2 linked regions of the Drosophila melanogaster genome follow. The protein of the gene in region 2 purifies or fractionates together with the protein of the main gene of each other region. This does not show direct contact. Each region holds a gene or a part of one and is shown on either strand. Other genes may lie near its edges.

The links.
Region 1: the proteins of dpr1 (region 2) and DIP-theta purify together in Drosophila melanogaster (affinity purification with western blotting; 2 studies listed by BioGRID). This does not show direct contact.

Annotation. Positions count from the first base shown.
Region 1 is NT_033779.5:5,655,165-5,662,278, reverse strand, and holds the start of DIP-theta (Dpr-interacting protein theta), read left to right. Parts: upstream 1-3,718; 5' UTR 3,719-3,884; intron 3,885-7,114.
Region 2 is NT_033778.4:20,695,220-20,703,752, reverse strand, and holds the start of dpr1 (defective proboscis extension response 1), read right to left. Parts: upstream 5,271-8,533; 5' UTR 4,568-5,270; coding exon 4,483-4,567; intron 1-4,482.

The DNA of each region.
Region 1 (7,114 bases), on a different chromosome or scaffold from region 2:
ACTATTTAAGCCCAGAGGAATTATAGTTTAGTTCTTATTCACATCACAATGCCATCGAAATGTCATCGAAAAGAAGCCAGCTTACTTTGCTTAATAGTATTTATTTGTGAAGCAATTTTGTCAGCTGGTAGTTTTTGTAGAGGCCGTTTGGAATGTCAGATGGCTCTGAAGGGTAAAATGATAATGAGATCTGGTGTTTTGCTGTGTACCAAAAAGCACCAGTTTACCTGCGTTGATCAAGTTTGTGTTTGCGGAAGACCAGAAAAGTGCAATCAGTAAATGATGAACTAATTAGTTACGCGTATGACGTATTGGTTGCTACTCGTAGTTATTCGTAGGAAAATAAAAAGCAATACATGGCGATAGAAAAATGGAGTAATCTTCTTTTTTTCATTTTAAAGGTTTAACCAAAAATGTAGAGATTTTTCGGTCTACTGGCACAATCCGCACTCCAGAAGATTCCATGTTGCATGCAGCCTTTGCTGGAGGCCTCATAATTGGTTTTCACTGCAGTCGGGTGCCAAAAACAGGAGCTGAGCCAGCAGCCAAACAGTCAACAGCGTGGGCATCAGCAAAATTAACTGCAGTCAGGTGGGTATCCTTGGACAAAGCTCCGCTCAATTGGTGAGGAGGAAGCTGCTGTTGTTGTGGCTATTGCATCCACCGCGTGATGCCAGCTAATGAAAATGACCGCCACAGATGACTGTGCTATTATGGCTAGAGCGGGGAATGGCGAATCAAAAATGGAAAGGTCCTGGGCTTACTTTCGCTCATCAATAAGCTCCATTACGTATACGCCGGGTTGGTTTCGCCCATTGCTCAGCCGACAAACAAACTCAGAGCTGTCTGTCAACCAAGTAAGGGGCTGCATTCGACCTCTGCCAATTGAGCGTTTGCGAATTTGTTTGCGCCATGGACCCCAGCATCTCAGTGCAATCAGGCGGAATATATCCCGCTTTGAGCTGGCTGCTTTTGGAATGATAGAAAGTGTTGCCTTCAAGGGAGCCTCAGTTCCTTTCTCTGCATCGTGAATTCTTTTTTCCAGCCCCCTGCTTTGCATACGCGCCACCCACTGGGCTCTTTGGTGGCCTTATTAAGTTGGCGCCTCTATGCAACTGCCATCAGCCGGGAAAGTTTTTCGCATACCTTCGATGGTCTCGGTCCTTTTTATACGCGGTATATTACCCAGTTAGCTGAATATTCTTGAGTTATATACGAAAATAATAAGAAGCAAACATGATTTATCTCAGATATTTCTGGATGTATTGTCTCAATGCGTTACTGCTGTATTTTTTTGCACTTCAACTACAATTATTTTGATATCACTTTCATACAAGCAAGTAAGACTCATTCTGATTTGTTTAGCCAATTGGGTCGATTGAGCAGGGTAACTTTTGATCGACTCCAGTTGAAAGCTCTTCTACATATTTTCACTCGCTCCAGTTTGTTGGGGTTGTCATCGTTGCAACTTCATTGTCAAAGTTGGCAAAGAGTCTTGAAGGGAAAGTTGGAGTGGGAAACTACAAAGAAATGCACAAAAACTGCGTTGTGCAAATACGGAGAACGAGAGTGGCGAAAAACGATGCAACGGTCTGCCAGTTGGGCGCTAATTATATGTAAATAGCTGGAATGAAACCGCCGCTCGAGGTGCCAGATAATTGGCCCTCATGCAACTGCCAAGTATAGTTTACAGCCGAAGTGATCAAGGGAAACAGTCTGCGAAGGAAAAATGCTCAAATTGTCGAGGCGTGAAGGACGACTCTTCTTTACGGTAAAGCTTTTGGCATGACCCCTTAGGAAGAATTAGAGAAATTTAAATGTGGCTACTTTGAGTGCCAAGGACTGTGCCCTAACTTGTTACTTAACGTGTCCTAGGCAATGACTGTTAGCTTAATTTACGGAAACTTAAATGGTACGCAATGCAATAGCAATTAGCTCAAATGCTAGATGAAATTCCTTTGCATTTAGGTCATTAGAGAAGAAAAATTTCATAACACTTCTCGGTGTGCGTGAGAAGGCATTTTCCCCCTTGGCCACTTCTTCTCCCCGGAGACAACATTCAGGACATAGAACAGCATTACAAAATTTCCCCAAAAAATTCGTAGAAATGCCAAAATAAACGAGTGGGATCGCTGGAATGAGATGGCGCAAGGTAAGGATGTGGAGGATGCTACCCACATGAGCGACAGTAACCAACACGTACAAAACGCATAAACATTCTTGCCTAAGTGAGTTTGTACATAAATTTCGAGCAACTTGCGTTGCAGGATGCGTTACAAGGAGACGATTTTGTGTGGGTCTCAGGATCTGTTTAAAGGGAATGAAGGGGGAGACTGTAGCAGTCTACTGTGAGTAGAGCTAAACTTACGCAAAAATCCATGGGAAACCAAGTGAGTTTTGAAGTTTAGACGGTTGGCTCAGTTTCGGTATCCTAATTTATTTATGCAGCCCCTGGCAAATGCAACTTTACTTAGGATGGATATCACTCAGCTATTCATCGTGTTAGCGTCAGTGCTTATTCGAAGGTATTCAGATGCAATTGTTTTATGTTCGAAAAATATCTTAACACTAAAAAATTTGTGCTACTAGCGTTTACTTTTCACCTTTGAATTTAGAAGAAAGCTAAGAATTTATGAAGATTTCCTACCAAATAACTAAATAGCATTTATTATTTTTATGACATCAAATTTTTAACTACCCAACTATTTAATACCAATTACCGACTACTGGTGTGTGCAACTTGAAAGCTGGAATTGAAATTATTCAACGAATCATGGCAATATCATTGGCTGTTTGCATTATGCAAGCATACCCGGTCCTTTGATGCTTGATGGCATTTCCCGAGCACCTACACACACGCAGCCGGAAAAGAAGCAACTTTAGTAGCATATTTCACGGCGCTGCGTCCGAAGAGAGAACGCTCTAAAGAGCACCGCTTGCCGAAGAGAGAAGCCTTGGGTAAGAGAGACCGAAGCGCACATTACTGACCTACATTAAGTAAAAATTTATTTATGCCGGCTGCCAAATTGGTTCCCCAAAGCATTGGCAGGCCCCGCTGTCCCCTGGTCCCTGGCTTTATGACTATGACGGATATGATTGTTGGTCGGAGTTTCCCTTTCCCCTCCTCGTACTTGCCCACTATTACTGCCTTTGTGGTTGTTGGCTTAAATAATAATGGCTTGTAATTTGCATAAATAATGTTTGATTTTTGCATTGATGAGGGAAGAGTGTGTTCCGCGTGTGTGTGTGTATTTGGGGAATTTTAAATGATTGAAAGCTCGGTCATCATTGGGGAATGCCGGGCTAGATGGCACGAAATTTTTGCATTTAAATCGATAAATTAGTGGAAAGAGCTCTAAAAATCAGTATGCCAGGATATGAGTCGTTTGGTCTATTTGGAAGTTGCATTGTAGATTTAAGCCCACCAAATAGGAAGAATAGTTTGCTGCTATAAGGGTCGACTTCGATGCCCCAACAATGGTTTCTTATCCTGCCACAGCACTGTTAACCAGCTAACAGAGCTCTGGCTCTGTTGCTCTCTAACGGGACCTGGTTCTCTTTGCCTTTGGAGTTCGGCTCGCTTCGGCAAGTTCGCGAGTGCTTGCCGAACTCCACGAACTCCGAGCCGAAGAGCGCTCGGTAGTCGACAGTCGTGACGAATGACGGCGATTATCGCCCTTCGAGGACTTTGTGTAATCAGTGCGTCCTGCTAAGCAAATTAGTTTAGTATGGTTTTAGTGCGCAACGCTGACGGTCGCACCAGTTCGCAGCTCTTAACACGTTGGTGTCGAAAGTCGACGCGCTCGCGTTTCGTCCCTCGCTTGAATTGAATGCCGCGAGTCGCGAGTGCCTGCGATATCATCGGAGGACAATAGCTCAGCACTGTACGTAAGCGGAAGGAATGGCCAGAATTAAATAAATAAATAAGTGCAAGACACAACCGGAGACGCTGGCTGCCAACTTCAATTTGGTACTTCATTTTTCACAGCCCGCTTAACGCAAATTGTGCCGGTCCTGGCTCCTTGCTGGGTACTAAGGTCCTGGTGCATACCCGTGCATTCTCCGCTCCCCTCCCCTGTTGATTGCATTCTTGGCGGCAAGTCGAGCGTGGCTCATTAAATGGCTGGCGAAAAAAAATGAAAGAGGAGTGCCGACTTGCGGAAAAACAATCACAGCATTTCTCTCGGCTGGTAGAGCCTGCAAACGGCATTTATAGAAGGGCCCTAGCGGCGCTGGGAAATTGTGGTATTTTATTCGTTATTTCACTTTGACTGTCACGCCAATTGAATTAATTCCACCGAGGAATTTAGGATTTAATTTGACATTTAATTATTGCAATTAAAAGTGGCCCGCAAAGCGCAGCATCAACAAAAAATGTCGTTTCAAAACAGGATTATGATCAAACAGAACGCAACGAAATTATGAAATTTTGTTTGAAAAAAAATGAATTACTTTCGAAAGTGGTTGACAACATAAAGCCGTGTCACATTACAGCAGCGGTTTGTTATAAAACGCGTAATAAATCTAAGAAAAAAGGAAAAAAGCTTTTATATTGATGAAAGGAAAACTTAAACAACAGGGTCAGAAAAACAATTATTGTATACAATAAAGGTTAACATTAATGGCAAAAGGATACATATATATATATATTTATATATATATATTTGGTTTTTATGCCTTAATAACTTGTTAGCTCTGCCCAATTCTATGATTTGAAACCCCTAGGATATTTTGTCTTTGTATTTTGTATATTAGTATCCTAAAATATCCTTCTCGTTATCAACATAAACAAAATAGCGATTTATTATTATTACAATTCCTTTGACTTCTAGCATTGCCATTGCTAGCTAAAAATATTCAAGCCTGAATGATGTGCTTAACAAATTAAGTTCCATGCAACATGATTTCTTAAGCAACGTTTATCCTTTATTATATGCATTCACTACTTTCGTATATACACATATAATTCAGAAAAGTTTGCGAAACGTCGAATACTTGGTATCAGCAAACTTTTTTGATAACTTTACTTCACTTGTAGCCCGAAAACAGTTTGAAGTGCAGGACGAAAATCACCCAAGGACGAGCTTTAACTAAATTATTGGGAGCTCGCGTCAAGTGTCAGACTTTGGGGGGGAAAATGGAATAACAGTTTGCCTTTGTTGTGTCTACAAATTTGTGGGGCGCTGTTCGTCAGCGCTAATGAATAGGTGGGGAGTTTTGTGCACAATTATCAAATAAAACGGGTAGCCGACCGCACAATTACACACAATATTTTCGCACACGCACCCAAAACGGAAGCCGTATAAACAACATGAATATGAAATTTAGCTGCTAGAAGCATATACATGCACATACATACTATAGATGCACAGCTCGTTGTGGATGGCCGTCCAATAAGCGACATAAAATATGCGAGCACTCACACACACTAGCGCACGCGAGCGAACACTAACACATGCATATGCACATGCGGATGAAGCGCCCGCAGCGAGTGCGGGAAATATTTTATGCACTTTATGCGGCCTGGACGGCGCTTGCTGCTGGGGATCGCTAATTAGGCAATATGCACTTGATTGTGTTATAATCATTAAAACCGGAAATGCATGGCCAACCCACAAAACACAAACGAGCGCAAACGCTTGGCCACACACACACGCGCACACATACGAATATGCGTGAATGCTTTCAGGTGGCTGCAATAGTTCACAGCATACTTTCGCACAGGGCCAAAAAGTGTTTTACCAAAGTTTCGAAATTTCATCACAAGAGTAAATGGGGTCGGTCTCACCATCCTGTCCGATTTTGTTAGTTTCCCATTTCACTCTGATTAATTATTTGGTGAAAAATAATTAAGTCTTTGAGGGGCTGGCAAGGCGTCGGAAAAGCAGCTCGTTCTCCCACAAAATGACGGAAAGTCACATCAATGGCTCGGCGGAAACGGAAGTGCGGGAAAGCAAACACGTGTCGGAAAAATGTCTGCTTGCAACAATGTGTGCTCGTACAAGTATATGTGTGCCAATGCACTTCCGCACACCCACACACCCGCACAGCAGGCGCCCATGTTGCATATGTAAAGCGGCTTGTAAGCTGGCCAATTTTTTATGCATTTATGCATTTTCCCCCGCTGCAGCTGCATCCCGTCCCCCGCTGACCGTTTTTTTTATTAAAGTTGCCCGTTAAGAAAAGCCCAGAAACCGCAGCAACAAACAGGAACGCCCACTGTGCGAACTGCATCGCACGTCCAAACGCCTTTTTGTAGGTTAATCAAATGCAAGACGGGGAAAATGCACAAGCTGCATGTCAGTGGGAAATGCTGCTTGTGGCTAGTTAGTGTGAGCGGGCGTTGGAGCAAGCATTTTGCCATCTTTTTGTGTACGCATTTCGCATGGCTTGTTATATTAAAAGAAATTTCCCAGCTGAGAAGAGACAAGGCAAGGAAAAACAAGCAAGCATCATGGCAACTGACAGCCAAGATGGACGGCTCTGTGATTTGATTTTTATTTCGAGCGATGCACAACAGCAGCTGGCAGTCAGTGGACAGATGAATTATGGCAAATGATGTAAACGCTCCCAGTGGATGTGGCTCTAATTAAACCGAGGGCCAAGAAGCACTCATAGCCCAAGTACTCATTTTCTCCTTTTACAATAGATAAATGACGTTTCGCAATTTCTCAAAAGTTTCGACTACCCTTGCTGGTTGCCTAAAACCAGAAAAAAATATTTCCTTTACTTGCATATTTATTGATTTTCAAGCCACAAGAATTTTTCGTAACGAATAGCTGTAAGTCTTCATAATAGGATGACCAAGAAATGTCGCGTCGAAAAGATAAATATTCCAATTCATCTGCAATCCGAGCAGATTTTGATTGGCACCAAACGCTATAAAAGTTTAAGCTTAATTTAATACATTTTCTGCATATTACCAGCGACAGTCACCAAGCTGCAAAAAAAAAGGAAAAGCACAAAATCCCCACCACCATTTCAGGTGACATAAACAAGCCTTTTATTTGGCATTCTGCTGCAGTTTTTGACACGCGAAAGTAGCAAAACGCTTTCAAAAAGAGAATGTCAAATAAAACACGGAAAGAATGCGGATAAGAGGAAAATTCACAAA
Region 2 (8,533 bases):
CACGCCCCGGGGAAAAACAGCAACAGCATCAAAACAGCAGTGGTGAAAACTTTGTCCCCAGCACGTGTTGTGTGACGTGTCCCCGGTGTTAATAAAACGAATTTTCCTCGCAAAATCATTGAGGCCTACACGATTTTTAGAGCCGCGCAACTGGTTTATTGTGCTCCTGTGGATTTATCGACAGCTTCGGTGGCGCAAACCCCTCACTCTTGAAACTTATAGCGTATATATCCTTTTTACGACACTTGTCCATCCGTCTGTCTGTCTGTCTGTTTGTCTGTAAGTGTTTTGGTTCAATTTGTGTTGCCACTTTGGCCAAAAGGCTTTAAAATCGAGCCGAAAGCTGGGAGACAGCACAGCTGCTAAAGGGTTTTCAATGCTGGAGTGCTTTTTAATAGCCACGTCTTTTGGCTCAAGGCTGTTGTTCTGGTCGTAAAAACCAGGCCCACAAGGAAATTGGCATGATGGAAAGTGGGTGGGCGAAACCACTCTAGTTTTTGGCTAATTTATGTCAGCATATAATTCGGCCAACGATAAACAAAACACAACAGAAACATTCGCAGCCATGCTTGGACTTTGAAAATTAGTTGAAATCAAATGCATAAATTTTCCTCTTTCTTGGCTGATTCGGTTTTCTCTGCACTGGTGCTCCAAAGTTACGTGACCGAAATAGTTGAGTTAGCAAGAAAGCGCTGTGCCAAGTGAATCAAAAAATAATGCTCATGTATGTATGTATCTTACGCACATGGATGCCGAGCCATTGGGGCAAAATAAAAACAATTTTCATTTATATATTTTCCTGACGAAAACCTAAAAAAAAAAAAACGAAAACGAAAGCACACACACTCAAGGGGCTTGAGCAACAGAAACAACAATCTTGCACACAAGAAAACCTTGGCTGTCATATAAATGTCAAATCCATAAGTGTTACGAAGGCAGCGGTAAAAAAATAATGTTGGTTTGACCTGCGCCTAGAAAGGGAATCATAATTTGAAAAGCTGTGGATTTGCCTAAAAAAATATATATACCTTGCTTGTCAACGACTTGCGCAACTTTTCAGCTTTTGGCCCGAAAAAAAAACTTTGTGCCAGCAGTTTAATTAGGAAACTATTTGACAATACTTTGCCTAATTAACTACTCAAACTCGCTCGACACTTAAATATATTGAAGTATTACATAAGACTTATGTTTAAGAAAGTTATTCATGGCTTGCTACACAAAGCTCTGTTAAACCAATGATTTGGGATTTGGGATAGTTTATTATTTTGAGCCAGATTTAAATATGTTTCATACATCAGTTAAAAGATAACTTTGTAAAGTGAATAAATTACTTTAATAAATGACTTCCAGATTTCTGTAATCCCTGACCATCCTCAAGTACAGTCCTTGGTCTATTAAATGATTAATGATGCCATTCGACTTTCCCTCCAAACTCCTTGAGCCAAATATAGTCTAGAGTCCTTCCGGTGGAACTTTTAACCACCCATTCATCACAAATTCCTGTAAAGCCATATTCCATTAAAATCAACAACGGGCTAAGTTTGTTTCTTCAAGCAGCTTTTTTTTGGGGGGTGAAAACCAAAAGTATGTTTATATTTATACGCATAAAAAAAGATAAGGTACAAATCTGGTTGGTCGGCCTTGATGAAGAATCCGTCGGGTTTTCACGCCGCTGCCTGTGTGAATAACCTGTACCCGCCGGCAAACAGATCCTGCGAACCCTTGAGTATGTGCTTTGCATACTTTGAGGCGCCGCCTCGTCAGTTTTTCATCGGATAAAATGAGAACGAAATGGATGGCAGTACGGTGGATGGATGGATGGATGGGCATTGCGTGCTCTCCTAGGCGTTTGTCTGGGCCAATGCGTCGGCTCATTCATCAGTCTGACACCGCTGAATGATGCCGGCCTACGCTGAATTGTTTCGCCAGCAATTATATGTATATGTATATTTTCCCAGCATTGCTTCTGTATTAACTGTACTCAACGGAAAATCACGTCGGTTATTATCATTTTTTCGCCATTGATTCATTTTGCTTTCCTTTTCGGCGACATGGAAAATATTTACAAAAATACTTAATAGTGGCTGCGGGGGAGGTCAAAAAACACGGCACATGCGAGTTATGCGGTGAAAAAGGGCAAAATCGTTTGTTTGGCTTATATGGCAAAACAGCTGTGCAAATAACTGCAATTTTGCATACAGAGTGACACGCACACACACACACACATACAAAGAGCCAAACCGCAAGGGCAGAATTTATTTATTAATAAACCAACAAACCAAATAACACGAGCTCGCGAAAGGACACGATCGAAAGTTTTATGAATTCATTATGGAAATATGCGCATGCATTTGTCGAGTTTTTCCCTGTCAATTAATTTGAGAAAAAGAATCAAACAGCCGGCCGAAAATTTGCCTCAAAAAATTCCAATATGCATATATATATAATAAAAATAAAAATAATCTGCATAATAATATGCAAATTTAACTATAAAATATTGGTACTTAAAAAGTGAATATGGCTAATTGTCAAAGTTGTCCATGCTAAAGTAGTGAAAAATTACATTTTAGATTTTGACTTGTTAGCCTTTTGCAATCAACTTAAACCATCTTTATGCCCAAAAACTTTGTATTAAATAATTTTAATTCCAATATATCATTACAAGTAATAATCATCACCTTTGTGAGAGAACAAATAAAACCCAGACCAAAGAAAATCCTTGGAAAATCGGTTGCCCAGTAATTCGATAGGAATCTTTTTTGATTGCTTGCCTTTTTGCAGGTTCTGCAATTGCCAAGATGAGTTATTTCGTCTGTTTGTCTGCGCTTAACCAACTTCAAGTAGCTTTTAGCCAAATGAAATGGCCAGACAGATGCCAATGGGCTAACAAGATAGGCGGGTAGAAGGCAAAGAAGCAGCCAAGTCAAAGGAAAGCAGGACGAAGGAAACAATTTGCGCAAAAGCGAATTGCATTCGGAAAGTATTTCATTTGAAAATTACAAAGCCCAGACGAACAACTGCCAAGTCAAATGATGGAAAATTGTATAAAAATGCAATTTACTGTTTTCAGAGATGACAAACGACGAGCTGAAAACGGAAAGTAGAAAATTGCTAGCCGCTGAAAGCTAAAAAGTGCAAACTTAAAAGCAGCAAACAGGCGGCTAAACCCCAAAACTGAAAAACCAAAAAGCCAAGCCAAGCCCAATGGCAATAGTTTCGTGTGTCAACTGCAACGTGCCACATGCAACGCAGCTGCTGCTGCTGCTGCGCAAGCGGCAACAACATCAAGTGCAACTGCAGCCAGAAGCATTTTGGCCATGACCAAGCTTCAACAGCATTTTCCAAGTGTCTGCCGCTCGTTAGTATGTGTTATTTTTCATATTTACTTTTTATTTTCCCACATTTCTATCTCTGTGGCGCGGCGCATCACAAGCGCGTGCTTCTCATTTGATGCATTGAAAGTGAGACTTGTGCCCCACTGTTGCAAACTATTATATAAAACCGTTTGCCCAGCCCACACGTTGCATGTGGCATTCGCACTCGCACTATGCGGCCATTCGCCATTCATCCTCCTGCCCTTCAGTTGGTCACTGGACCAACCTTGTGGGCTGCGAAACTAGGACTGCAAAACTCTGGACAGGAGTGGGTCACGAATGCACGGAAAATCAAATAGCCGGAGTACTTAGTTGCATATATGCTTTTCTGTAAATAATAGTTTTAAATGCAGATGATAGTAGACTAGCCTTTAAAACATTTTCTAACTACTTTTGTATGTGATTGTATCTATAAAACTAAATATTGTACAATAACAATGTGAGTATTTCAAGTTCTTACTTCAAACAAAGTTTAAGTAGAATATTCTAAAAGTGTTGTTAAATTCAATCCAAAATCCAATATTAAAACATTTTGTAATATTATATAATTTAACAGAAATATACTTTAGCTGACTTTGTTAACTCATCTTAACCCAAAAAAAAACATGAAGAGTTCGTATAAATACATATATAATATATGCATTAAAAACAAAAATATTCTAAAACCAAGATGCGGGGGGAGCACTCGTTTTTCCCTCTGTATAATGTTTCATTTTGTTGGTTCTCCACTTTTTGGGAGTCACACACAGATGGGCATTAAATGCTTCACCTTTTGACTTGCGCCAGGGACAAAAGGGAAAACTTTTGCCGACTCTGTAGCGGAATTAAAATTCTTAGCACAAAAATTAAAGAATTTTCAATTCGCATTCGCCCGCTTTCCAGGCCAGCGAAAATCGCTCGTTTTCCGGAAATTAGACGGGAAATCCTAGGCGACAAAGGAAAGTCTTTGGGTTACAACGGGCATGGTGGGCGTGATGGGCGTGGTGGGCATGGTGAGCATGGGGGCAATTAGGTGGGCCAAAGCGCGGCGCAAACAAATTAAATTTAATTAGAAATTAAATGAAAATAAATTGGATTATTTAATTAAAAAGCCCGACGCACAACTCACCTCTGAGCAAAACCATCGACAGCAGCAGCAGCCAGCCGATGAGCCAGTTGAGTAATCCGATATTGGCTCTGGATGGCAGGGACATTGTGCTGCTGTATCTGTATCTGTATCTGTGTATCTGCGGTTGTTATCCGCAAGTTTATTGTTATTACGCTTGTAGTTGGCACGCGATCCGGATCCGGCGAAACGGATTCCGGTGTGGTGGGGGTGCACCCGGGTGGTGGAACGTCACTGGTCAACTAACGATTCCGTCAAATTAGAGCCCGGCAAAACTCTCGGTTAAGCTCTGCCTGGGGAGCAATGAAAGTACTTTCTCCGCTTGGCCCTGTTTTTGGTTCGTTTTCACTGAGAGTTGACCTTTTTTTCTGGTTTTGTTTTTTTTTTCTTTTTTGTTAATCTGCTGCGAAATGAGCTTTACACAAGAACTTTTTTTTTTGTGGGCGTGCGAAAGGTTTTAACGGTCTACGAACACTTCAAACAGATCGTAAGCCCAAAAGCCGCTAAGCAGTAGGCTACACTTTGTGGGCGCCTCTAATTTATGGCACTGTGTTTCACTGTACTCAGTCGCTCGGTTCAGCTCATTACGGCGCCCCATGCATGTGGCTATTGCATTTTAATCGCCCCGTCATTAATTCGCCATTAACACGAAGGCCCGGGCACTCATTAGGCCCACTTTTTCGAAACCCTCAACACTGAGGAATATATCTGAACAGGATTTAACTGGGACTACAACCCGCGCACATAAATCAAGAAACGCGTGCTTCGCCTTCGAGTCACAGGATGGAACTGACTGGTAATCGGCGCTCGGGCACATGGCGAACGCCTCGACTTCGGCTAACTTCGGCACTCGGGCAAGTTCGCATATATATTGTTCACATGTAAGAGCAAAGAGAACTAAAACTGCAGAGCCGCTCTCTTCAGTCGGCTTATTGGAGCACGAAATTACCAAGCAACTTTGTTTATATCGAATATAATGTCTCAGGTAATAAAGCACTATTGCAACTGTAATAAAATGCTTATGAATAATTATATTACAGCCTTTACTAATTATTTAATTATTATTAAGACTCATAAAACCTTTTTTTTAACATATTAGTATTGTATTCCACTTTCTAGGGACTTAGTTTTACCATTCTGCTTTTAAAATGTAGGGAAATCATAAAAGGAAATAAATTGTTCTACTTCTTAATAAATGAAACTTGCTTCTTGTTTTTAATATAATATTTAATTATGCCCACTACCATTTAAGCTGCTAAACAATAAGAAAACCGCGCAAAAATATCCTGCCATAGGTCAGTTAGGGATACTCTTATACTGCCGCTCTTATACTCCGCAGGCCTAAAGAGAAAATGTCCAGTGTATGAAAACTGTTACAGTTCCACGTTCTCTGCAGTTCAATTGAGCGGCAAACAAAAAATGCATTTTTAATTAATGCTCCTAATTAGCACTTTTTAGTGTTTTTTTTTTTTTCTTTTTCTTATTTTTTGTTTATTTGCTGCGAATTTCCCTGAAGCGTTCTTAGTACTGGGACTCATCGCAGCCACCCAAAAGCACAAAGGAAAAGCACACACGAGAATTTCAATCAATTGCGAAACTTTTAATTACAAGTCAATTTAATTTTGTGCAAACAAACAGATCAAATGCACTCGATAACACCCCCCAAACCCCTCGCCTTGCTATTGGTCAAGCCGAAGCGTTTAAATCAATTAAATTAATTAGCGACTGTGAAATATATACATATATTTGTGCAGATTGGCCAGAACTTTTTCCGCCTGATTATTTTTAATTGATTGGCCCAGCTTTTGGCTTTCCCAGCTTACGACTTATGGCCCACTGCCCAAACATTGCCAGTATTATGCAATCAACTTGCGGACTTATAAATACCACCCAACCAATCAAGGTCGCCGCAATTAGCGGCCCCAAAAAGCGATTACTACCATTCGATAACCGAAGGAGGCGTTCAGTCGGGGGGGCGTGGCGATGGAGGCACGTGTCAATCGCAAGCCGCTTATAGATAAAGTAAAAGGCGAAAAAGCAAAGTCAGTAAACTTTTTAATTGAAACAATTTGTAAAATGTTGCCCAAATACCATCCCATTGTTCATCATAGACAGAAATAAAGAAATGGCCAACTTTCAGGACTCGCTTTTAATCCTCCATTTCGCGGAGCCTTGAGCGTTCCATTTTTACTAATTCCTGGCCTCCTGTGTGATTTCTTAATTGAATTACCCTCGTCTGATTTAACCGAACGGTAGCGGCGAAAACAGTTATTGATTTTCTATATTGACAAAAACAAGTTACTCCCCACAAAAAAAAAAAAAACAACAAATCTGGCTCGGTTTATGTTCTATCTTTGCTTCAGCGAAATCATTATTCCAATCAGAGACGCACGCCCGCCTCACAATTGGATTTGGATTCGAATTCGGATATGGATCCGGGTTCGGAATGGGGAAGTCTGAGTTACCAGCTAAGAAGGGTGGGCAAACAAATCAAAAATCTATTAAGACGTGCGATGCGGCACATTCAGGCTCAACAAATGTCCTTGCGGTCACGTGTCACCGCGAAGTTGCAATTGTGCACACAAAAAAAATTAGTGGTCCATTGGCTAAAAATAAATCTTACAGATTTATTATTCATGGCAGAATAAATCATCACTGAGTAATAGCACCAGAAGTAACTATAATTGTAATCTATGATCCTTTTCAATACTGCATCGTTTTTTTTTTCAAGTGTTTAGGCATATCTCGACGCCCATTGACAAAGCATCCCAAAGAGACGAGACCTTCATTTTGGTGGCAGATATGAGGTTGCGGCTGGTTTCCTCCTGAAACTGAAACTGGAGGAGCTGGAGCTGGAGACGGCTTCATTAGGAGTGCAGCGTTGGAAGAGCTGACCCCTTGGAGGGCAGGAGTGGGTTGGTATGGTATGGTAGATACAAGGGTGGCAAGTGCCATTAATTGAAATGCCAAGCAACAGCTCGTTGGGGCAACGAGGCATGACCACATTACAGCCGCACACACACGCGTGCTCGTCACTCCAACTTGTTTATACTTTCCGAGATGGTTTTGATTTTGGGCAGTGGGTATGCTTCGGTATCATGCGGTCCACTCCCCCCCATTGGGGAAAACCTATAAAACAAAGGAAACCAAAGCAAAGCAAGCAAAACAAATGGGAGAGAGAGAAAAAAAAGCAAAGGGAGCAGAATGAAATGAGCGGCAGTGCAATAAAAATCAAACCCGCATAATTTAACACAAGTGCGCGCACTCAGAACAGCTGACTCTCGTCCGCCGGGGGAGCACCAGCCACCCACTCTGGTTGCCAGCCACCCACTTTTTGGGGCTGTAGAAAAAAAAGCGTGTGTGATGACACTCAGGAAAACATCTCAATTATTTGTTGACTCTGACACACCGCTCCCCACACTTGCCCCATTTTATTATCAGCCCAAGAGCATCGGCATTAACATTTAAAACAATTCTCAATGTTGTAAAAAGCAAGTGTAGCACTGTGGCTGCCTTCGAAGGTCGGCTAACATATACTATTCGTATTTGTATATCCGCCTTCACGATTCACACGCCTGCATACTTAATGCCAGCAACAACCACAAGGAACGCTCTCGACCTCTGACCCCCCCAACAACCAACTAACCATTACATGGTATAGAAAATCACTAGGGTTGCCAGCAAGTAAGCCACACAACAGTTTCTCTTATCGCTCAAATGTCATCGACTGTCGGCAGTGTTTGGCTTTCGCTTTCCCATTCCTTTTGACTTTAGTTTTTCGGCTTTGGTATAAGCAACCCAAAAAGAAAAAAGAAAACAGTGGAAAAGCACCCCTCTGGCCATTTAACCCAACCCCCTGCCCACCCAAAAAGGGCGTTCATTTGTGAAATTCTAGCCATGCCCAGGGGCGGCACTTGCGGCATTTAGTTAGTAATTTAGCGCATTTAGTACGCATTTTCAGCCGGGGGATTCGAGGGGAGCAACTGCCCTTCTGGGGTCACGGCCTCGGTCATTAGGCTCAGCCTTTCACTGCGATACTAAAGTGCACAATAAT